Drosophila melanogaster: one gene and its partners. The gene in region 2 interacts genetically with the main gene of each other region. Each region holds a gene or a part of one and is shown on either strand. Other genes may lie near its edges.

Region 1 (7,690 bases), on a different chromosome or scaffold from region 2:
CCATCTACCGGCCCGACTAAGTGCCGTCGTGGAGGAGGAGGGGCGTGGTATCACAGGGTCGCGGGGTTGTCGTAATGGTAATTGTAAAATAAACACTAGCTGCTAACACTTTGCTTTAGGCGTTTACGGATCGTGCTAATCAGCAGAGAGTATAGGTACACTAATCCATAGGACAGGACAGGCGCAGGCACAGCACACACAATGGGCATTAACTAATTTAGTGCACTCGCAGATTGTCATTTTAAGCTAGCTACTATTTCATGTTCGGTTTATAACAAAATTTTGCAAGAACTCTAGGCGGTAAGTTTGATTTCTCGTAACTTTAGGGCGCTCTACTTTTTCTGTTTTTCGTTTAGTTGTAAATTCTTATTTGTTTCCCAAACTAATGCAATACTATTTAATAAATTTCGTGTTAGGAAATTTACAGTGATTTCGAAAATGTGTTTTTCTAACTGCATTCATAGTAAATGAATATTTTTCAACTAAGAATTCAAAGCCCACTTTCGATACCCGAACAAATTCACACATATTCTGTTCATGTAATGTACAAGGTACATATATATTTTGATATATATCATATGGTTACCTAAGTATTTTGTGGTTTCAATAACTTTACAGCACTTTGGGGCATAGACGGTTGATGAACAATAAATACATTTTAATTTACTTTAGGTTTCATTTATGTATTAATGCTTAAATATAATCAAGTCTTTTAACAATGCGCGGGTCTGGCTCTAGGAATATATATATATATATATATGGTTAGTATATATAGCTTAAGGAATGCGATTGGAATGAATCGGTATTAACAATGGTGTTTGTCTTTTTGGGGTAATACTTGGCGATGTGTTAGGAAGTTAGGAGATAGCCATCTAGTGCCCTCCGCTAATGATTTCGGCATTGTTGGAGCCCTCGGACATGGCTAGATTGGACATTTCCAGGTCGCTGTCATTGGCCATGTTCTCGTCGTAGTCGCCTTCGTCTTCCTCGTCCTCATCGTGCTCATAATCATCATCTTCATTGTCTTCATAATCTGGCTCTTCCATAGTTTCCTGCACATCATCGCCAGCATACCCTTCTCCATTTTCATTGTCCTCCTCGCTTTCCGGAGTCTGAAGCTCGGTTTCTGGCTCGAACGGCATTTGAGTTTCGGGAATGACACCTTCCTTATCGTCGGGCTCCATTTTAGCTGCCTCGGAAACTCCACTGACCAGCTCGTTGGCTGTTCTCAGCAGCGCATCTGTTTGTCTGCGCAGCGTCCGCATTACCAACGAGTCCTGCTTCATCTGGAACACGTGCTCCCGCCGTGCGATCTCCTTCTGTTGGAGGAAGAAGTCTTGCAACATCTCCTTCTGTGCCGTGCGCATGGCAGAAGCCAGTTGGCTGAGTTCCTTGGCCAGCAGCTCGTCCTGACGCTTTCTGCGCTGCTTGGTCTCCTCCTCGCTGGACTTCTTTTTGCTCTCCTCGCCAACCGCAGGGTGAGATCGGATATCTTTCGGAGCTGAGCCGTACATATTACTGCTGCGCTGCAGTTTCACCGGCACGGGCATTCCCATCACCGGACTTTGGCCCAATCGACGCTTTCGCGGCTGGAGCTGTTGGTGCTGCACCGGTGTCAGCTGGTGGGAAGACATCATGTGGGCCTGCCTGCTGGTGGAAGCACCTGCTTGCTGACCAGCTATCTGATACTTCGGTGGCGGCCCGCGACCCAAGAGACTGGACATTGTGGACGGCGACTGCGGTGGACTGGACGTGGACTGATCGATGTCGTGAGTCATTCGATCCGGACGCAGCGAGTAGCCCGTGTCCCTCATTGGCACCGTCTTCATACGCATTCCTGTCGACTGGACACTGATATCCCTGGGCAGTCGCAGCCCGGACTGACTGCTATTCGGATTCTGCCTTCTCGGTAACATTAACTTGCTGTGTGGGTGGACAAAGTTTATGCTGCTGGTGCTCTGAAGCGGCACGGACCGGCTCATCTGGCCCGGATTGGGTATCTGCTGCTGTCCCATCTTGGTGAGCGTCGGTGGCGGGCGGTCGATCTGCAGTATGCCGTGGGTGGGTCGTCGCAACTCGCCCTTGGCAAAGGAGGCCACACGCAGGGGAGGTGGTGCCACCGGCGTGGATGAGTAAACGCTGTCATCTTCGGTGTCATCCACAGTTACTGGTGGCGGTGAAGGCGAGGCTGGCGCTGTGGGCGGCGGTGTGTTGGTGGTGTCCATGCCCAGATCCACGTCGGGTTCATGTTTAACGGACACTATAAACGGCAAGTGGGGCACATCCTCCTGGTCGCCGTTGTCGGCATGGGAGCTTCCTGCCTCGTAGTCGAACGACTCCATGTCGGGCTCGGACACCATATCATGTTTTTCGGTCGTCTCATAGCCTGCAAATATAGAATGGTACGTGTTTTCAGTAATGACTCTCTTAACATACTTTCATTTTGACAATCCCACTCACCTATATCAATTGGCTCGGGTTTAATGGGTCCCAGTCGGAAGCCGAATATGGGATGCTCCACTCCGAGAATATCCTCCTTGTTATCATCGCCCGCCGTCTTGGAACTGTCCATCGAATTGCCGCATTCACTAAGGCTGCCGTTGACATTGCTGTTGCCGCCGCCATGATTTGTATCACTTAACATCCGGCAGAGCACGCGGTAAACCTCCTCCGGCACCACCTTGGGCACACCCGTACCATGTCGCGTTGTTGTGTTGTACGTGGACTTGAGGAACTTCCACTTTGTCCAGATCTGAATGCTGGACTTCTTCACGAAGCCCTTGCTGCGCATCACCTCTTCGATCTGCCGGAAGACCTGCTCGCTCTTCATGTTCCGGTCGTTTAGCTGCTCGAGGGCGTTCAGGTTCTGCATGATGCTCAGCATCTCCAGCATTTCGGCCCGGCTCCACAGGTTGCGTTCCGGCCGAGGGCTATAGCCGAGGGAATCGCTCTTCACCGAACTGCCGGCGGAGTAGGGTGGCGACATGTGCGCCTTAATGCGCATGGGCGTCAGCAGTCCGTCGACATCGTCCACCACGCCGTTGCCCGTGGAGGCCGTGTGCAGGAGGTGGTTGATGTCCTGGCCGCTCGCGTTGCTCTGGTTGCTCTGGATGTGACCTTGGCTCTGACGCATGTTGTGCTCCACTTTACTTAGCAGCCGCATCTTCGTGTGAGCGGCCACCGTCGTCGGCGGAGAGGAGGAGCTGTTGGTCGCTCCTGCAGCTCCGTGACTGCCAGACGACGTGGAGCTATCCAAGTAGCGAGGCATTAACATGGATGTGGCTCTCAGGGTGCACCCTTTGATCAAGGTCTTAAATTCCCGATGCTGTTGGAAAACAAGCAAGAAAATATTCCAATATTAGTTTAAAAATTGGTTTTCGAAAACCACGAAATATTGACTTGACAACCGATGTCATAACCAGTTTTGGAAAACTCGAAAATTCAGTTTTTAGACACATTGTCAGTCATATTCATATAGTAGGCATTCTGTGCCCAAAAATGACTACTTCAATCTTGTTTTAGTAATCAAATTTTATTTATACTAAAAGCATGCTACGCGCTTCATTTGAAGGCTATATTACATAAATCACATAGGTATTTTAAACTGCAGAAAAACTTGATTAAATATGATTCGGATTCTAACTTCTCAATCAGCAAATCGACTTCCGTTTGATATGTATACTTCTGCCCACTGGAAATTCACTTGGCAGATGGTTTAAAAAAAAAATGCTGGCTACGAGCCAACGAAAAAATCCAGTTTTGGACTTTTTGTGTCAAAAGTTAGGCAGTCGTGGATTCGGTTAGGTTTCGGTTTTCGTCTTCAGAATCCACCACCAACTCGATATTTACTGGCACATACACATTTGTTTGTGTAAAGTTGACGTGTTTCCAACTGTTTAACACATTCCGAAACCGAAATCGAAATCGAAACCCATCAAAGGTGGCAGCTCACCGACACGCTCGCCGTAGCCAAATAAATGCACGAAAAGAGCTTACAAATCTAAAGCGACGAAACTTATATGTATATATATATATAATTTTTTATCGATTTTGATTATTTCAAAACGAATGACAGCAAAAAGCTAACGTAAAAAACGAACTCTCCCGCACACAGATACACTGCGACAAAGTGGCAAGTGGAACACGCTCAATAACAGAACATATTTGAGATAGTGATTTCCAAATGCAAGTAAACAAGATAGCGTCGAATGCCGAAAACCGAATACAGCGTAGAAATACACATTTAAGAACCGATTACGCATCTTACAATTCGGAGGATGATACGCCGCCAGTACTGAACAACGAGTATGAATGAAAGCGGGCAAGTTACATATAAAGATTCATAGTGGCGGGTTGAAACTAGAATCGAATCTCAAATTTTGAGTATTTTTCCAGCGACGACGACCAAGATTCGCACAGTGGTTGGGGGTTGTTCGAAAAGCAGCTTTCAGAATGACATATCACATGATGTGTGCTCTGCATGGCGGATTCTTCCTTGGCAGCCCCAATTAACAAACTAATTCCGAACTGGCACACTAACCACTGAATTCCCAGATGGAAATGTAATTGCCAACTTAATTTAAATCGCCTGCAGAGCACTGTAATGAAAAAGATACGATAATAAGCCAATAGATGGAGCACGGTGTAGGGGGGGGGGGGTGGTGTGCGGGTTGGCGAGAGCCGAGAGAGTGAACTAAACTCGCTGTCTTGCTCTCGCCACAGCTCGGCTCACCCACACACACACACGGACGGGGACGAACGAATTTACGCTTGTTATGTGCAGTTGAGAATTTTTCAAGAAAAAGAAACAGAACGTAACTTTCCTTCACAGTGACTAACATCCATTATTGACAAGTGATATTTTGTCTGGCATTTTTCGCTAATCGGCTAATGGCAACGGTTGATAACTTAATGCACATGCCTGCCAATTAGTTTCAAATAGTTCGTTCGACTTGAACTATTTATTTATTTCCAAGCAGAGCAACACCTTGCACACAAACACATGCACGCGCTCGCTCACTGCACACACACTTACCAGCGAGAGAGCGGCGAGAGAGTGGAAAATACGACCGTTTTCAAGCGTCAAAACTGAGGCAAACCGTCGCCGTTAACGACGATTTCAATACTAATTTTTAAAACTCGAAAAAGCGACGAACGGGCCTACAAAAACCCAACTATATAAACGGCCACCTGTGCTGGTGTGCGTGTGCGCTACGACGTTATATATTCGTGTTCGTACTTGTATTCGTATTCGTATTCGGAAGGTACAAATAATGGTTATGGTCGCTAGTTGTTTTTGAGATTGCGAGAGATTGCCGGAGAGACAGTTGCCTATTATTTTTTATTTCGCCTTTTCTTCTTTCGCTGCCATTTACGTTTTTATTCCGCTCTTTTTTTAAGAACGGGGTTATTTCGGGGAATATATAAATTTATGGGTTCGCGCGCGTACACACACACACACACACACACACAGCAAATAAAAACTGCAAAAAGCTACAGTTTTAATGTAGTATACACATGTTGAAATCGAGTATAATGATTTTTCAAGTTTTGTTTTCCGCTCGTCTGCCATTCTCCGTGAAGTGAAGAAGACTCTAACGGAAAGTTTCAGACTATCTATAATCTTTAAATTCAATATTGCAGATTAAGTTAAGAGTGTTAGCTCAAAGGTTTGAAACTTTGGAGATTTAAGCCCGTTGGATAACTGAGCTTAGAAACTGAGCAATAGTATTTAAAAATAAAGCGAAACTCACGGCTTAACGGATTTAACTATAGCATTTCAAAGTTCTTGTGGGAGATTACTTTTGGTGCGCACTGTAGTCAGAGCAAAGTGAACGCAGATAATCGCACTCGACTGTAATAACTTGCTTTTTGTGTAATAGCAAAGATATCGAATTACCTTAGGCCTTTGGGTATTCGATTTCAGGTTCTTGTCGACGGGAGACTACTGTAAATTGGATTCTCAGTAGGAAATCGAGCTTCTGCCAAGCTGTGTGGTAAACAAGGTTTTCGTGAATCCTCTTACAGGTGAGAAACTACCCCTTTGCGGCATAAGAACTCCATGTACACCGAGTACATAGGCGACCTGCTGAATACTGGTTCAAAAAATTCGCATTCAGCCGAGCTTCCTTGAAATTTTCGGGGTGGCAGATGCCGAGAATGCGAATAGGTTGTATCTCGTATCGCATCTGAAAGCCATGTGCTGAAGTCAGTCGAAACTAGATTTACAAGTATTGGGCGGACCGAAAAGATGGGTTGCGGGGAAGCTGGAGTTTTCGAACTGGGAGCGATGCCAGAACAGGAAACTTGAAATCGGCTGCAGCTATTCTCTGTGGATGAGCAGCACGACGCTGGGAAATGCGGAAAGCATTTGCATTAATTACGCATGGCACCAGTTCTAGGAAAATCCACACGTTTATCTGAATTTCATGTATGCAAATAAATAAACAAAACGCGAGGCAAACCTTGCAAGCATTGAATCCAAGAGCACAAACACATGCATTTTCTTATCATAACGAACTTTGTAGGGAGCACTCACTTGAAAAAACAAAGAGCCAATTTGGTCTTCGGTTTGTTATATCGATTGCATGAAATACCTTTAAAATATTATATTTTTCTCGTTTCCTGTACGCGCTGTGGTTGTCAAGAAAACTTTTGAACTTACGGATCTGCAATTTCTGCTATCGAATTAATTTTATCGGTTGTATCAAACAGCTGCTTTGTGAAAGCTTTATATTCAAAGATTGTTGTTAATAAAGTTTATTAAAAAAAAAAAAAATTTATCATCTTTTTAATATTTAAAAACGCTGTAAAAGAAAACAGAATACAGTACCCTGTACCTAGTTAACATTACCAGACAGCCATCCCTCACAAAATATAACGAAAATTTTAAACACTGAGTCTCTAAACGAAGTACTTGGTACCGCTATAAATGATAAATATAAAAATTATATGTCACATTAATTGGAAACATAATTTTTAATCAACAACGGTTGGGCGTTTCAAGTTTTTAGATAACGAAAAGCCATCGATTATCGATTACCGCGCAATTATCGTAGCGCAGTGGCCGGTTTTGTGGAGCCCTGGTTGTGGTAAGACGAAAGTTGTGAGAATTGAGATTGGGCATGTCGGAATCTCCGGGAAAACGGCCAAAAATCGGACCCAGCGATTGCCTCTGCTACCTGCAGGTGAATTGAGTACGGCACGGGGACTGAGGTGTAACATATTGTGTTCTTTCTAGGGCCTGGGAGATGTCCGCCCGGAGGATGCCGCACTGCAGCTGGCCCAACGAATACAGACGGAGGAGGATGAGGCGGCGCAGGCGGACACGTGCAGTGGTGCCAATCAAGCCGCCCTGAACATTAGCTTCCGTGTGTACTACCACATAGTGCACAAGTACGAACTACAAGACTCGCACTTCGCGGATCTTTTCCAGCGTTTGACCAGCGAGCAACCCACTGCCTTCCTGATGCTCCAATCCATTCTGCTCACCGACCATTGGAAGCGTCTCGATGCTGCGCTGCTGGAGGAAAAATGCACCACTGCCATAATTGAGGCTCTGCAGCGCAACAATCCCAGCCTGATGGCCGTGCTGAAGGCCACAAACTTGCTGGTAAAGAAGTTCCCCAAGCTGCAACTCCTTCCGCTGAAGTTGGAGCACTTCTATCACTGCCTGCAACGCCAGACGCAA
Region 2 (6,346 bases):
AGGAGTTCTCAAAACGTCAGAGCCACACTGAATAAAAATGAGCACTATTTTTAATCGGTTTTTGTTTGTCATGTTTTTTTAAATTTATATTTATATTGAAAATTAATTAAATAAAATTGTTTTATCGTTTGTTCTTCGTGTTCCGTCATTAAAGAGGTTGGATGGCTTCTAGATCGTGATATTATTCATACCCAGCGAAATATCCAATTTTGTATGTACTTATTTACGTTTACGTTTTTTAGTGTCCCAATCTAGATCTTTTGTTCATTCACTTGTTTACACACGTCAATCGGCATTATCTGATATCTGTGGTGCGGCTCAGTTCTTCAGTTTGGGAGCCGTCCCGGATGAGTCAATGAGTATTATACTCGTATCATGATTAGCTCTCCGACTGTTGGAATACTGGACTATTCGATAGGGAGAGACCATCCAATCTTAGTAAGTGCGCTCAATGTCAGGTCGAACATCTCCCCATATCACTTATCGATGAGCTGGGAATGGGGTCGCGGTCGCTTGGCGGCCTAGACTGTAACATTGAATTGCCAGCGCCGACTTACCACTCCGAGAATTCCGGCCCAAGCTGCTACCGTTTTAAGGGAGCCAAAGTGCTTGATTTTTGCCGCTGGTGCTGAATACATTTTGCAGTGACTGTTCGATATATAGGGGTGGTTTCCAGATACTGGGAGATATTCTCACGCCCCGTATGCGGGACTCAAATCGATCGGGTTGAGTGCGCTTTTGCAGTACGCGACGTCTGTTGGCCAACTGAACGATCGAGCCGGACAATTGAGTTCGCCACCCGTTTACTATATTTCCCGATAAACCTTGCGATAATGGCTCTTATAACAAAAAGCCAACTGGCCAGGGGCTTTTATTTTTTATGTTTCGCTTCGATCGAGGCGGTATCCGCTCGCTTTTCGTTTCGTTCGTTAACTGAATTCTGTGGTTTGGCTGGAACGTTTATCAGGTCGTATGTTATATTATCGCTACTGATAAGAGAGCCCCCTTCCCTTCAACTTTCCTTTGGCTAAAAGATATACCTAAATCGAATAGGTAAAACTGGAATTTCGGAATCTTATCGGTCCTATGTATTAGCACATTAGTGATGTTGGCCTTTATCACTGCGTAAATGCAAGTATTTAATGCTTACCTCACAGGTTGGGTATGCCAAATATTTACGAGGAGAATATTTGTGAATTTAAAGTGGGCGGGCAAAGGCGCCCTCTACTGTCTACAAAACGCACTGTTAATTTTGACATTGCATGATAGGAATGACGCTGAGCCTTTTTTCAAGACAAAATGTGCTAATTATTTACCTTTTACAAATACAAGCACAACAAGTAAGTATTTATTTGTATTTAACCACTCAGCAATCGCAATAAGAAAAATAAATGCTTTATTATTTCAAGTAAATAATTACGTTATCGTAATGAACGGCAACGCTGTGAGATTTTCTCTGTCTGACCATGGTTGACCTCCCAGGCAGCCGCCATTTCCGTGGCGTGCGAGTGAAACGACTAGCCCATGTTTTCCCGCCGTGCCAGGGCAGCGAGCATGCTAAAGAGCGAGACGACCATACGCGTCCGTCGAGAACTGCTACAGCACATACGCATTTTTAACCCTAAAAAATACAGCACCGAGTCTTTAGTACAGTCAAAGTGACGCCGCGACAACTCAGAACGAAACCGAAAATTAAAAACGGAAGAGATTGTTGTTCCTGGTGTCCAAAAAAGATAGATTGTTTCGTTCGAGTGGCTCATCCGTACCCGATCGATACATAAATCCCAGCAAGCTGCCAAACCGGAGTGCAGAAGTGTAGTTTGTCGTAATCGCCGATTAATATTGAAAGGTAGCGGCTTGCAGTTGCGCGTGTAGCGCCCGCACAAACCGAATAACACCATCACTACGGCGTGCTCACCTGAATCCAAAACGCCACGAAATGAACAACCAACTGAATCCGGCCACCTACCGCAAGTTTAACAATCTGCTCAGTAGCGGAGCGGTCACTGTGACCGGTCCCAGCCAGCCGCGAATCCTCAAGTCGACGCGTATGGTGGTACCCGGTGGTGGCGGAGGAGGAGGTGCCTCTGCCGGAGGAGCCTCAGCCGTTGGCGGCGTAGCACAGCAGCAGGCGGTCAACGATGCAGAGTCGGGTGGCGTGGGTATCGGCGGATTAGCCACGCGATGCTATATCTGCGATGACCGCTGCGAGCCACAGACTTCGCTAACCGATATGTGCACCACGCACACTTCCACCAAATTCCCCAACAAACTGGCCCAGCTCGTGGGCGAGGGTTTCCTCGTGATTGTTTGCGGCGAGGATTACGTGTGCTCACGCTGTACCAACCTGGTGAACTACTACGACCGCCTGGAAAACGATGTGGAGCGCGTCAAGACGAACCTCATCAGTTTGCTTAACAAGAAGTATGCCATTAACGAGGATATGGGCCAGGAAGGCAGTCCGCCGCTCAAGATGCAGAAAATGGTCGGCGGATCCGCCAATCGCTCGTTGGAGGAGAGTCCTAGTGCGGATTTGCTGCGTCCACGTAAACTCCTGCAGGGAAACCCAGGTAAGTACATAAATACAGAAATTATAAAGCTTTCCTAATGCATATTCTGCAATCGTACAGTTGGCCAGTCCAAGATCGCCCCAGGAACCACCCAGAGCAGCGTCCAAGGCACCCAGACAGTCCAACGCAAGGCCACCAAGATTTATAAATGCACCTCGTGTGACTATAAAACCTCGGATATGCGGCTGTTCAACACGCATTATGAAACCTGCAAGCAGCAGACCTTCCAGTGCAAGACCTGCCGCAAAATCTTCCCGCACTTTGGGGCCATGAAGCAGCACATGGTGCGCGACCACAATACCGCCATGGATAACACGTGTGCCATGTGTCACATTAACTTCGTGAACGAGAACAGCCTGCGCAAGCACATGGAGACGAATCACGCTACCAATGTACTGGTGACCAGCACCACCACCATACCGGCATCAGCTGCTCCCGTGGCTGCTGCTGCAGCTGCCGCTGCAGCTGCTGCCAACGAGAATCTGGTTGGAACATCGCTATACACATGCAATCATTGCCAGTTCAAGTCAACGGACAAGGTCGTTTTTGATGAGCATATGCGCAAGCATGCCGCTGGTAAACCTAAGCCTTTTAAGTGCCGCCTGTGCTCTCAGCGCTTTGAGACGCGCGAAGCTGCTACTGTGCATGCCAAACAGCATCAGACCAACTTCTTCAAGTGCGGCACTTGTTCGATGACCTTCCCGAAACGGGAGATGCTTGTTAAGCACTTCGAAGTGCATCAGAGTCCTTCCGCATCGACGGTATCGCCCAAGCAGTCAGTTAGCCAGAACCTGAACACCCAGAAGCTCCTTCAAGAGACCATTGATGAGGCACTGAGCGATAGCCTGCCTGCTTCGACAGCTGCTGTGGTGGCAACCACCGAGTCGGAGAACAACATACGCTTCTTCTCGTGCAGCATTTGCTCACTGACTTTCATCCAGGAGACATACTACAACCACCACATGGAGACCCACAGACGTGACAAGAAGGCAACTTCGGCCGGAGCCACTGCCCTAAATTCGGCAGCTACGGCTTTACTAAGCGATGAGCCCGGAGAGGCAACTGGTAAGGCCGGTGACGAGAGCGGCGAGCAAAACGCAGAGGCCGACATTGAGAGCCTGTTTGAAAAGCTCCACTCCGACAAGAACGAGAGCGGTGAGGCGCCCAAACCGGGAAGCAAAGGCGGCGAGATGGTTATTACCTCGCAGGAGGGCAGTGGAGGCATAACCTTCAACATTACTATCCCGCAACCGGACGGAGACCAATCGCAAAAGGATTCGCCCAATACCACAGCACCTGTCTCTGTTAGCATTGACATGCCAAATTTGGATCAAGCCGAAGACGAATCACAGTCCCAGGGCAGCATCGATGCCAAGGGCGAAAGCGGCGAGGCCTCCTCTGCCGATAGCAAATCCAATGCCGCACCGGTTTCCATGCCCAGTTTAGATGATGACAACGAGGCTGCAGCTGCTGAAGCTGAGGCCTCAGAGGAAACCAAGACGGCTAGCAAAGCAGGTCAAGAGAAAGCCAAGGCCAAGGCTGGAGAAAGCGCCAAGTCAAAGGAAGCCGCCGCTGCTGAGGAACCACAACCATCTGACGAAGGAGACGTAGTTGCTAAGCGTGAGGCTACAGATACGCCCACAACTGAGTCGGAGGCCAATGCCACGACCGCTGAAGCCGGTGAATCTGGCGAAGGCGAGGTTACTGCCAGTACTGGAGCCGAGGGCGAGGCGGGTGAAGCTGCAGGTGGCGAGCATGTTGCCATGGAACTTGACGAAGCCATGCAGGCACAGGTGGAAGGTGGCCAGATCAAGTTCATTGTTAACGAGAACGGCCATCTCCTCCAGCTGGACAACCACATCCTGACGGACGCCGAAGGCAACCAAATAATTGTGCAAGATCCCGAGCAAATACAGCAGCTGCTCCAAAGTGTAGGAGTTCTGCAGTCCGGCGAGGGACTTGAGGGCGAAACCCTCCAGATGATGACCGATGGCAGTGGCCAGATGGTACTTGTCCATGGTGACAACAATGAACAGCAGCTTATCGATGCCTCCCTGTTGAACTCCGAGGGGCAGTTAATTATCCAGCAGGGACAGGATGGTGAGGAAGGCGCTCATGTCATTAGCGAGGATGGTACCCGCATCCCAGTGTCCGTGTCGTACACGGAAGATGGCCAGCCCATCGTCCAGGTTCAGCAACAGGTCCTGGAGGCCGCACAGCAGGCAGCCAGCGCTTCCGGAGGTGCAGATGACAAGGAGGCGGCTGCCGACTCGGCCGGCGAGGAAGTGCAAGTGTCGGAGGCATCTAGTGGCACGGCATCCACCACCGTTGTTGCCACGAGCACGGCCAGCAGCACTGGTGGCCCCTCCGGCGGCAGCTTTTTTGCCCTGGAGGAGTTTACGGAGACAAAGACCGACTAGGATTGGCCCTAGGGGCGTGGTCATGACCACTATACCATACTGGCATGCGAAGAGGACTGGTAAGTTAAAGGAATCACCAGCGTGAACTGGGATATTCATACTTTTTCGTTTGTTTTAGGTTTTAGCTGTGGGCACGCTCAAGATCTCTGGAGGACTTTTGCACACCCCAATTTGAAACCCACTCCCTGACACCCACAACCGAACCAACTTTACAGACAACTGAACACGAAGACAGAAAAATACACACACGAACCTTTTCAATATATATTTACATTTAGTATATGTATTAAACACTCCAGTAAACTAAAAGAAAGATTTCTTATTACCCAAGCAAAGGAAAAAAACTAATTCAATAAATCAAATTGTTCATTCGGTCCGTTTCGCACTAGGCTGCCAGGGATCTCAAGCCAGATCTCTTTGGTTGCCTCTTAAATATCGTATCTAGGTTTAGTAATAGTATAGACAAAACTGCAAGATGAAAGCGACAAAAAATGTATAAACATAGAGTTTATGTGAGAAACTTGGAATATAATAAATGTATGTATTTACAAGATAACTCAACAATTACACTAAATAAATCGATTTAAACACAAACATTTGATGAAAATTAAGTTCCGAAATCGGCACAAATCAATTCAGAAATAGTGATGCTTCCTAACACCTAGTGATCCCCGTAAAATGTAAGGATAGGTGAACAATCCCGCTTTCCACTTCCATAAACTCCAGATTCACACCCAAAACAAACAAACACAGGCCGCAAACACGCCCAAATATATGCATGCACGTATATATGTCAAGCAACTTGAAATATATAATTGTAAAGAAACGAACATCGGTTTCAAGTTCCTTTATACTCTGTGAGCGATCTTTGGAATTTGGTATGCATGTAAATCAATTCAGATAAGTTAATTAAACGCGCTGATGGCAACTGTGTTCCAATGAATACAGATGACACAGAAGGCAGTCCCAAAGTTTACATATTGTCAGTATGGATCCAACCATTCATTTCTCAAGTCAGTAAGTTCGTTGACCTTTAAAATGGATTAGTCGGTTATGAATGATATTTTCGAAGTATGCATACCAGCGAAACTTTCGACTCGTTCTTAATTGCCCAACACCTGTTGGCGGCGGATGAGGTCGACTATATTTAAATGTTCAGGTAGTTGATTAATAAGATTTAATACTAAGTTGGATACTAAACTGCCAGCGGTGGCATTAAAGCATTTGGACTGTCATGAAGGCCTTATGAATGCCCCGTTCCGATCCATAAATCAGTGAATGTTGTGATTCTGAAAACAGCAACCGGATTGGCACGTGGATGCGGTTTTGGAGGAACTAATGATTATTTCATAGTTA
Region 3 (3,508 bases), on a different chromosome or scaffold from region 2:
ACAGCTTTCTATGTTTTATATACTCACAAACTAAGTATAGGATACGTATGTATGTAGCTTCTAGCATAAGCAAGCCAAGTATGCAAGTATTGGAAGCGTGTAAACACGCATTATTTATTACATGTATTTACATACGATTAATGCTCTTGAATGCAGGCACACACTCGCTTAAAGCTCTTTGTTGCAAAACTCCCGACTATGTGCCTCATACGGAACGAGTACTTATACACAGTGAATAGAATAATCGCCCATTATTACCCTTGATTTAGAACTCCCCAATGGTATGTCCAGATTTTCTGCAGCTGCGGAGGCTAACAAACTTCAATGTCGGAGATATGCCAAGGTTTTTTGTCTATCCCACGCCAAGGTGTTTGATAAACCACTACTCTTAATATGTATATGTTTGCAATCTCTCTCTCCTTAAACGATACCCAGTGTTATATATGGAATGCGAATAAATGGTTATTACGCCCTAAAATCAATTGTACAACTCAGCCAGTTAACATTACACAGTATAGCTTTTATTGATCAAAAAATGCGGATTTACTTAAAAGTTAGGAATGAAGTGAACGTGGGAAGATGAGTGGTGACGATGCGGGGACATAAATATGAGGAACACAGCTGACTTATGTCTCGTTGTCCTCGATCTTGGGTGCCAGGTAGTAGCGAATGTGACCCAGATCCTTGATCGCATACTCGACTACCAGCGGAACATCTGCGCACATCGACAGCTGCACTTGGGTGGACAATGGCGTCGCCTTTGTGAAGGCGTTCAGGTAGCGACAGGCAAATGTCAGCGTCACCGGCTCCTGCATCTCGATGATCACCGCCTCCTCCTCCTTGTCGACAGAGCCGGTTTGGGCTAGCTTAATGTTGGCGGTGCCCACATCGCCGCTGGCCGAGAACTTGACGCCCTCCTTGGTGCAGCAGATCACAACGGATTCGCTGAACTGCGCCAGATCGCGGCAGATGCGAGCGAACTCCATGGCCGGCATGCGGACCACGCACGAGAAGTCTGTCTCCGGTATGCCCAGGTGCTCCTGGTCGAGGTTCATCAGTTTCATCTCGTAGTCCGATACCTTCTCCTGGTTAGCCGATTCGAACATGATGGTGACAGTGTCGGCGTTATCCTGCGCCTTCATCGTCACATTGTCCTCGTTGTTGGCGCATTTCAGAATCTTGGCCATGCTGCCCAGATTCATGCCCATGGAGAGATTGCGGTCGCAGCGAAACTTGTCGAAGCCATCGGAACGCAGGGTCAGCGAGACAAGCGACACATGGGAGTTGTCCATGGCCTGTAGCTGTAAGTTGAACAAGGTGTTAGGGATATGCATTTAAAATCTTTTTTGTGCAATTTTTACCTGAATGCCGGAGTCGCTGCAATCGAAGGTTGCCTCATTGAGCAGATCCTTGATGGCATCCAAGATCTTCTTCAGGATGGTGGCTTGACCCAGGCGTGCCTCGAACATATTGAATGTGTTTTATTATTTAAATACTGATGACGGGCTTAAGAATTTAACAGCAGTAATGTTACCGCGGCTGTGACTTTGGGATGAATGATTAACGTGGGCTGTTTTTTTTTTTTACTTTCAGGCGGGCTAAATGAGCGGGATAGGGATGTGAAAAGCCACGGGCGATATCGACTGAATCTATCGATAGCAGCCAGCGAGCGGCCTGCCAACTGGTTTGATTAACATATTATGTTCACACTTTTTACAGAGTATATTTATTTCAAACATTAAAATTAATAAATTATTACAAAATGACAATACATTAACGCAGACGATTGCTAATAAAAGTGGGAGGAGAGCGCACATTGCGCTTATCTAAGCGGCCTGCAGCTTTAATCATTCCTCGCAGCTCTGCAACTCCCAGACCTGAAATAAATTTACTTTAATGTTACTATATAAATACACTTGATTTTTACTAACCATGCACTGTTTGAGTTTCTTGCACGCCCCTCGAATCCAATTGAGTAAAATAGGCCACCAAAGCGGAGTGTTTTTGCAGTGTAGCCACACAGAGGGCCGGGATCATCGAGGACAGATTGAAATCCTTGTAGGATCTTCGCCTCAACAGTTCCTTTACTAAAGTCAAATGCCCAGCATAAGTGGCCAGTGTCAGGGCATTTTGACCAAAATAGTTCATAGCAAAGATATTTGCACCGAATTCCAGCAGCGTACGAGCGCACTCAAATCGACCCAAATAGCAGGCCTTCAATAGGGCGGTATTCCCGTACATGTCCACATCCTCGAGGTTGTGCTGCTTGCCGTCGCGAGCCATGGTGCACACGATGCGCAGGGAAACGACATCGTCCTGTCCAACGCAGCTGAGTGCTTAAATGCAATGCATTTTTATCAATATTGGAAATTCGCATAGCTAATATAATTTACCATTTATTTCACCCATTCTGAAAAGCTTTCATATAACGGTGCTCTAGGGATGCAGTACGATAAAACGTATTACGAAATGTGGGGAATAAAATATAAAATATAAAGAAACATAAAATATGAAGTTTAATTTTTTAAATGTGCACACAGAGCATATCTAAATGGCACTTTAAGCATTTTCATTGAACAAAAGTTCGGCGCCTTTTGAATTTTTAAATTTGCATTAGTGATGGACCAGAGTGCGCCTAACAGCACACGGCGAACTATTAACAGCACGCGTCCCGAACGTGGCAGGCAATTTTAGGTTTTTTACTCCGCCTCAGGCAGCCACATTAATTCGGCCTTCTTTTCTTTTCCCGTTTCCGGTGAGTGGTGTGCTGCCCATTTGATTTTTCCAAAATTCTAAAACAAAATACCTCTTAATTCTTTACAGTGAGGAGTAAATACGAGAATACAAACGGCAAAATGGTGAGTTACCTCAAATATGTGCGATTCTGAGCGCCAAACGACAAATTTATAGTGAATTGCAAATGCCGTTAGCTGTTGGCAAAAATGGCGTGGTTTATATGCATTATACTAATGTTTTTTCTTTGCATTCTTGCAGTCGCTCGTCATCCCAGAGAAGTTCCAGCACATCCTGCGTATCATGAATACGAACATCGACGGCAAGCGCAAGGTTGGCATCGCCATGACCGCCATCAAGGGAGTGGGTCGCCGCTACTCCAACATTGTGCTGAAGAAGGCCGATGTCGATCTTACCAAGCGCGCCGGTGAGTGCACCGAGGAGGAGGTAAGTTGAGCACGCCCAATCCGTTCGAGACGCACACCAACCTAAATGCCATGTTTGCAGGTCGACAAGGTGGTGACCATCATCTCGAACCCTCTGCAGTACAAGGTGCCCAACTGGTTCCTCAACAGGCAGAAGGACATCATCGATGGCAAGTACTGGCAGCTGACCTCCTCCAACTTGGACTCGAAGCTGCGTGACGATCTGGAGCGTCTGAAGAAGATCCGCTCCCACCGTGGTCTGCGTCACTACTGGGGCCTCCGTGTGCGTGGCCAGCACACCAAGACCACCGGTCGTCGTGGTCGCACCGTGGGTGTGTCCAAGAAGAAGT
Region 4 (6,432 bases), on a different chromosome or scaffold from region 2:
GCTGCCGGACACTCATCAAACCGTGAATCTGGAGGAGGCGGCCAACACCACCAAGGATTGCCTGCTGCATTTGTTGGAGAAATACAACGAGACCCGCATCCGCAATCCGGTGGGTCGTCACCAGAGCATCAGCGTGGACTGGCGGGTCAGCGACAATCTGGAGTACCGCTCCATGAGCTCCATCAACGCCTTCTTCCAGCGCCACAACCCCAATGGCGGCGGCCACAACGTACGCCACATTCAAGCCCAGCTGGAGGAGAAGGCGGCGGGCAAGTAGGTGCCCATATCCACAGCCCTCTGTATATATGCGATATATATATTTGTATGTAGAGTACAGATCAACTAATTGGCACATAGGTAAATCTACAAAGCGTCGAATGGAACAAATTAATATTTATGTACTTGATGTAAGCAATAAATCAAATTAATTTATTGAATAAAACTGAAGCAATGATTCGTTTCTATTGACGCGGGATTGAATTTTGTTGGCATCCCACGATATTTTATAAAAATGAAATTAAAAATTAAAAACGCGATTTATGTACTACCAACTAGAAAATCAAAAACAATTTATTGCAGAAAAACAAATATTAACTTATAAAATGTACAAAATTGTTTTAGTAAACTACATTTTACTGCTACGTCTACAACCAAAGTAATGCGGATGTGTTGGTAATTTTGAAACAGGACAATCGCGTTGTTTTTGTTTTGTTTATTGATGTATGAGTTGAATATGGTTTAATTATACATAGAGTGTCTATACATATAAATATTAGGAGAATACTTTGGATTTGTTCTTAGTTAGGCCTTACAAATTAATGCTTTGTATAAGTGTTATGAAGAATAGGCTCTGCCTATGTGTATAGTATGTATAATAATCTAGTTTTTGTACATGATAGTTTCAGGCAAAATTGTTTTCATAATTTGCCCAGAGATCATAGCAAATCATAAAAGACATTTTTAGCACTGGTTAAGAAATGAGAGCGCGACAATTTGTGTCCATTCGGCGGCATTCATATAAATAAGGCATCCAAACGTGCAGAAATTGACGAAGTTAATTCAAAGGCATTCCTCTTTTTTTTTTTTGTTTTCCACTGGTCGAATTGGTTACAATGTTAGTAGGTCGCAAAAACAAAGCAGCAATGAGCCGAAATGCGGCTTATTGGGGCATCGTTTTGGCGCCCTTAATATGCAAGACAAAACTCAATTCTACTCTCCCCTCAGTTTCAGTACTTGGATGAAGTGGCAGGGCAGAGAAAGGATGAGTTTTGTTCACCCGGCAAATTTCAAATGCAAAAGTTGCCGGCGAAATTTGCAAGGATTTCACAAAGTTATGTAAAGTTAGTATTCCATCGTTATAAAGGTTAAATTTCGGTTGGCTTCAAGATAGTTAAGACTAATTCCATTTAGCTTGCGGTCTCTCTCTTCTTGTTCAATAGTTGTTTGTTGTTAAGAACTAATCACTTAGTTTATGGCATTTCTCACTAGAGAAATCTAAAAAGTTTCATTTAGCTCGAGCTTACTGGTTGACTTACAACTAATTACTGGTTACGAGTAGTTGAAGACTAACGATTAATATTCGCAACTGTCGCCCTTGCACTGCATAAAAAGGTTCGTAATAAAAAATTAGGAAATACTACACAATCGCAGTGGCTTGTAAAAAATAAAATTACAAATTGCAATTCGGTGGGTTGGCCAGCGAATCTGGAGCATTAGTTGTGGCGCGGCCGCTTCAACATCGCCCCAAAGTGTGCCCCCAACCCAAATCCACCGCTGGAGCTGGAGCTGGAAGTGGCGGACGAACTGGGAGAACTGGTGCGCATGCGCTTTGCGGGCGATAGTTTCTTGGGTGCCTGGGCCAGACGTTTGCGCTCCTTCATGAATTCTGTAAACAAAGGAAGGAAAACGAGTGTTATTAATACGTGTTAGGTGGAATTGCCAAATCAAAGTCAGCTGCTGCATTTCCGGTTGCCCCTGTTCACAAGTCACTGATCCCTAAACAGCAGGCGCCGCCTGTTTTTCTGTTTTTGCACATTTTGATTTCGGTTTCGGGTAGATTCCCAGATTGTGGCACGTGGACGGCAGCACTTCCCTACCAGAGGGTTGCAGATCCGCACAGGGGTAGCAAATAAATGCCAGACGGCAGCCAGACAGTCGGTCTTTAGCCGGTTTTCAGGTAGTCCGGTGAAAGCAAGAGTGGTGGTGCTACATAACTGCATAAATTATGAGCTCTAGCTTACTGGCCAAAGCAGCAAAAAGTGCACTTTAAGTAAAGCGAGTTGAGGCGTTGGGGGATTCAAAGGCTTCCCTACTGACCACCCGATGCGGGTGCATTTATTATGTTCCGAACAGACACAATTTTTTTATGATTATAATTACACATGCATGTGCTAGTGGCATTTATAAAAAACGCTCAGTACAAAGCAATCAAAGGGAGGTTTGATAAGACCATGGACTCTGGATGGTGGTGCATTGAAAGCCGATCCCCAGACCCCTCTCCCGTTTTCTATAATGAGGTCAGGCCATAGACAAAGCGGAGTCACAGCTGTTGGCATTTATAGATGCAGCCAGCCAGCCCGCATGCTATCGATCTGGAAACCAACCCCCGCGTTGTGGAGGATCAGAAGAGAATCATTCGGTTTAGGGAGATGAGGAGCTGAAACAGCTGCAGTCAGCTTTGACTTACCCTTCTGGACGAAAATAAATCTCCCACAAAGCATTGGCTAATTGCTATAATTTGGGTCTAAGTTTCACGAAAAACGCCCACAACTAAAACGTGAATATAAACAATAAATGCGAAGGAGTGGACTTAAAACCAATCAAACAACCCCTTATGGAGTTTAGTATTGTAAGTACAAAATCCTGCACAAAATATTGGTTTGGCATAAAATCATTGATGAAAATCGTTTTCATCGAGTTTGCAAAACAAAGAGCACGAATCTACTTTTATATCTCGAGCACTATATTCGGAAATTTTTAGATAATACTCTCTACTCTACAGATAATTTTGAAAAATAATATCGTATCAGTCCGATTACAAAACAAGCCTGATAAGTTAAAAAAAAAAAAAAAACACCCTCAACTTCCTCCTGAGAACCGAAAATAAACAGGGAATAAAAGGAAAGCTATGGGAAAACACTTTGTAACGTCTATCGAAGTGAAATGAAGCCTGACCCTGGGAACCGTCAAGCTCTACTGATCAAAATGGTGTAGAACATCCCCCAAAACTCACCTGTGATTTTTGGCTGTCTCTTGCGCAGGACTATGGAGGATGTGCTTGTCGTGCTGGAGGAGCTAAGCCGCATTGCCAGCGACTCGTCCTGGGAGTCGTAACAAGATTCATTATCCGTGTTCGACTCTAGCGAGGAATTGACCAGATTGGAGCCAAAGTTCTCCCGTTCTGAGCGCTCGTTGACCAAAATGTCCATGTCGCTAGGACTTGCATCCGCGGAAGGGCGTACGTGGGCGGCCCGTGTTAGGGTGTACATCTCTGGGGCGAAGCTCGACTCCTGGAAGCTGACGCGCTCCCAAATGTAGGGTGATTTTTCAGCTAAAGGGCAGCCGGCGCGGAAGTCAAAGCCCCATTTTTGCGTGGCCAGTTCTTGATGGCGCTCCAGTTCGGAATTAAAGGGTCTAAAGAGGATATATTGTTAGCTATTGGTCAAAATCCAACTGTTATTATAGAAACTCACGTTTTGTTGGCTGTACCCTCGGCGGATTTGGAGCTACCGAAGAGGTCACGCTTTATGCGATTCAACTGACGACCGCATGCCAGATTGCGACTCACCGCCGGGCTGCTGCTCATCTTGCAGAACTCACTGATCATCACAGGATTCAGGACTCGGGCACTGACCATGTTGAGTCAATATATATTTTTTTGGGATCCCCTAGTGTTTTCTACTCTGTTTTGAGACGCACTTTTCTTGCCACTTGTTTGCGAATTACACGCCAAAGCGAACTGTCAAACTTTTGGCGCCAAAACTTTGTGTTCAGACAGCCCCAAAAGAGAGAGAGGCAGTCTCCACACGAATACAAATCACGGTCTCCACACGCGAGCGTGTGTGTATGTGAGAGGGAGAGCGAGTGTTCTGTGTGTGCGTTGTGCTGCAGCTTATTTTACGTCTTGCTGCGTTCAAAAGTGAAATTTCACGCTGCAATTGTTTATAAAAATAATTATAAACAAATGCCTTGGTCCAATAGCACTTGGTCACTATCTTTGAATGGCGATTCGAACACACTGCACTGCTAGTCGACTCACAAAACGAAACGTTTGCGGGTCTCGTTGGAGTTTTTGTATGAGTTAGCTGCCAATGGCAGCACCTTTGTATTATATTTGTCTTTACAACTTGAAGTCGTTTTTACAGCGATGTTTGTTAACCTTTTCGGCTATGAGCGCACTGCGCACTAGATTTTTAAATATAGCGCTACCGATCGAAGCGAACCTCTCTCGACGAACTCGGAGAAACGAATAAAAGATAAATAAAACACTGGGCAAAAGCAAACGTCAAACAACCACCAGAGGCGTTGCCAACTGGAAATTCAGAGCGGTTCACGCTCTCTCTGTAGCAACCCTCGAATTCGAAAAGATCGGAAAAGCAGCAGGAGCGAAAGAGATAGGGAAAAAGAATGCGCTTTTAATGTTAATCATATCGAAAGAGCAATGCACTTCCTTTGAATTGTTCTTTAAACTTATATAGCAAACGTATAAAAAATACTCAGAAAAATAAAAGTTTCCTAACAAAATTTAACTAAGGCATCTGAGTTTAAAAGTTTTGATATTATGAGCTTTAATATAATTATTGATTGTTGGAATCATCATATAGTACAATATATAATACGTATTCATTATTATTATTATTATTATTATTATCATTATTTTCATTATTTCCTGTCAAATAATATTCACAGCTCATAAGCCCATAGTTCATTTGTAAACAGTATTCAACCAGATTTTATTTTTAATGTTTTTGAAATAACCAATTTAATTATATTTTAAACTGTCCAAGGTTCCTTCATAGAGCGTATCAAGAAAGTCGTCACAACTTCCACAACCTCTCTCTCTCTCACCATATGTCTCCCACTCTCTCGCACGCCATCTACCCATCCCTGCCATTTCCATCCGTGTGTTCTGTTCGCTGCCTTCTTGGTTGTTGTTGCATCGGTGGAGCTGTACTTTTAGTTGCGATTGCGATGGGAAGATACGAAAAAACGATGTTATGGTTTTGGTTTGTTTGGCCTCAAACTGGATTTTTAGTCGTCGGAGGGAAGTGGCAGGGGGCATTTGGGGCACCAATTCTTTTCACTTTCCTCGTGTTGCCAAGGGGAAAATCGCGCTTGCATTGTGGGGCACTGGTCCACCAAATATACATTTGTACGATGTATGTATGTATGTATGTAAAATAATGTGCACGTCTAGTTCGAATTTCCTTGTGGTGTTTGCATAGCACTGGGTATTTCAAATTTCCGTTATGGTTCACTTTGTGAAACGCAAGTTTTCTGCTCATTTCGTGCTGCATTTTCATAAAGTTTTTTTCCTTTCGTGTGCAAAATCGTAAAAAATTAAATTACACTACCAAAGGCAATAAAACGAGATTTATATTGTTTGAACAAATCCAATTAAATAAGAAGGAAAGAATTGGGACAAAGCCTTGGAAGTCAGATTCGTAGACTAAAGACATCATTTGCTTTGTCCTTTGCACTCGACGAAATAATGGGAAAACCCATCGGCTTTCCACACAAAAACCCGAGAAAAAAAAAAACAAGAAAAAACGGAGTGCAATCACCCCAAAAAAGGCAGAGATCGTTTGACGAACGTTCGATTAGGCAGCATCATCATCCATCCATAATTCGTTCCTTTCCACTCCCATAAGATCCGATCCCTTGTGGTTCGGTTTTCTGTTTATGGGACACACCCTCCCTCAAAAAGAAAAGCAACGTGAATTTACACACTTTATAACAAATTTGAGAATTCTACTGGCGTTCGGCGGCAGTCATGCCTGAAAACATAAACAACTCAAGAAGGAGTTTTTCGAAAGGGGAAGAGTTCGTGATCCCTTTAAGTAATTTCCTCCCGAGCAGGATATCCTGGCTTTATATGGGTTGTGTCAACACACGCGGAAAAACAAAAAAAAAAAAGGCTGAGAAAAGAGGTGGAAAAGCGGTTCTCAAGTGTCCCGCTTATGAGGGCAGATCCTAAAGGATTGTCGTGGAACGTGCGGGCATTGGATGGCACTCAAGGTATTCACTTGATTGCAGTCCTTAATGCTGGTAGGATCGAATTGGATCTTATCCGAATTCCCTAATATGCACTCAACTATGGCCCCCCCCCCCCCCCCCCGAGTAGATAAGGGCTAGGCAAATATCATCAGTGTTTCCTAGTCAAAGGTCGCGCGGTCGGTAGAACATTATCTCGTATCTACTAAAACCTCAACA

Evidence for each region.
Region 1: of pzg (region 2) and mrt, changing one suppresses a phenotype caused by changing the other (phenotypic suppression), as found in Drosophila melanogaster (one study listed by BioGRID).
Region 3: of pzg (region 2) and PCNA, changing one enhances a phenotype caused by changing the other (phenotypic enhancement), as found in Drosophila melanogaster (one study listed by BioGRID).
Region 4: of pzg (region 2) and dap, changing one suppresses a phenotype caused by changing the other (phenotypic suppression), as found in Drosophila melanogaster (one study listed by BioGRID).

What each region holds. Positions count from the first base shown.
Region 1 is NT_033777.3:27,276,718-27,284,407, forward strand, and holds mrt (martik), read right to left. Parts: upstream 5,945-7,690; 5' UTR 5,900-5,944; intron 5,131-5,899; exon of another isoform or gene 5,036-5,130; intron 4,314-5,035; exon of another isoform or gene 4,268-4,313; intron 3,995-4,267; exon of another isoform or gene 3,860-3,994; intron 3,713-3,859; exon of another isoform or gene 3,644-3,712; intron 3,326-3,643; 5' UTR 3,275-3,325; coding exon 2,461-3,274; intron 2,387-2,460; coding exon 873-2,386; 3' UTR 532-872; downstream 1-531. Other genes in the region: CG5938 (uncharacterized protein), read left to right, coding at 1-20; CG3368 (uncharacterized protein), read left to right, coding at 7,125-7,187, 7,241-7,690.
Region 2 is NT_037436.4:21,284,498-21,290,843, forward strand, and holds pzg (putzig), read left to right. Parts: upstream 1-1,601; 5' UTR 1,602-1,939; coding exon 1,940-2,570; intron 2,571-2,630; coding exon 2,631-4,990; 3' UTR 4,991-5,049; intron 5,050-5,108; 3' UTR 5,109-5,813; downstream 5,814-6,346. Other genes in the region: CG12974 (uncharacterized protein), read right to left, coding at 558-638.
Region 3 is NT_033778.4:20,261,253-20,264,760, forward strand, and holds PCNA (proliferating cell nuclear antigen), read right to left. Parts: upstream 1,632-3,508; 5' UTR 1,470-1,631; coding exon 1,362-1,469; intron 1,302-1,361; coding exon 627-1,301; 3' UTR 502-626; downstream 1-501. Other genes in the region: plu (plutonium), read right to left, coding at 1,774-1,877, 1,932-2,336, 2,394-2,409; RpS18 (ribosomal protein S18), read left to right, coding at 2,856-2,858, 2,995-3,180, 3,241-3,508. UniProt on the Drosophila melanogaster protein: Likely to be an auxiliary protein of DNA polymerase delta complex and is probably involved in the control of DNA replication and repair by increasing the polymerase's processibility.
Region 4 is NT_033778.4:9,710,364-9,716,795, reverse strand, and holds dap (dacapo), read right to left. Parts: upstream 4,476-6,432; 5' UTR 3,857-4,475; coding exon 3,693-3,856; intron 3,634-3,692; coding exon 3,233-3,633; intron 1,886-3,232; coding exon 1,713-1,885; 3' UTR 540-1,712; downstream 1-539. Other genes in the region: sqa (spaghetti-squash activator), read left to right, coding at 1-277.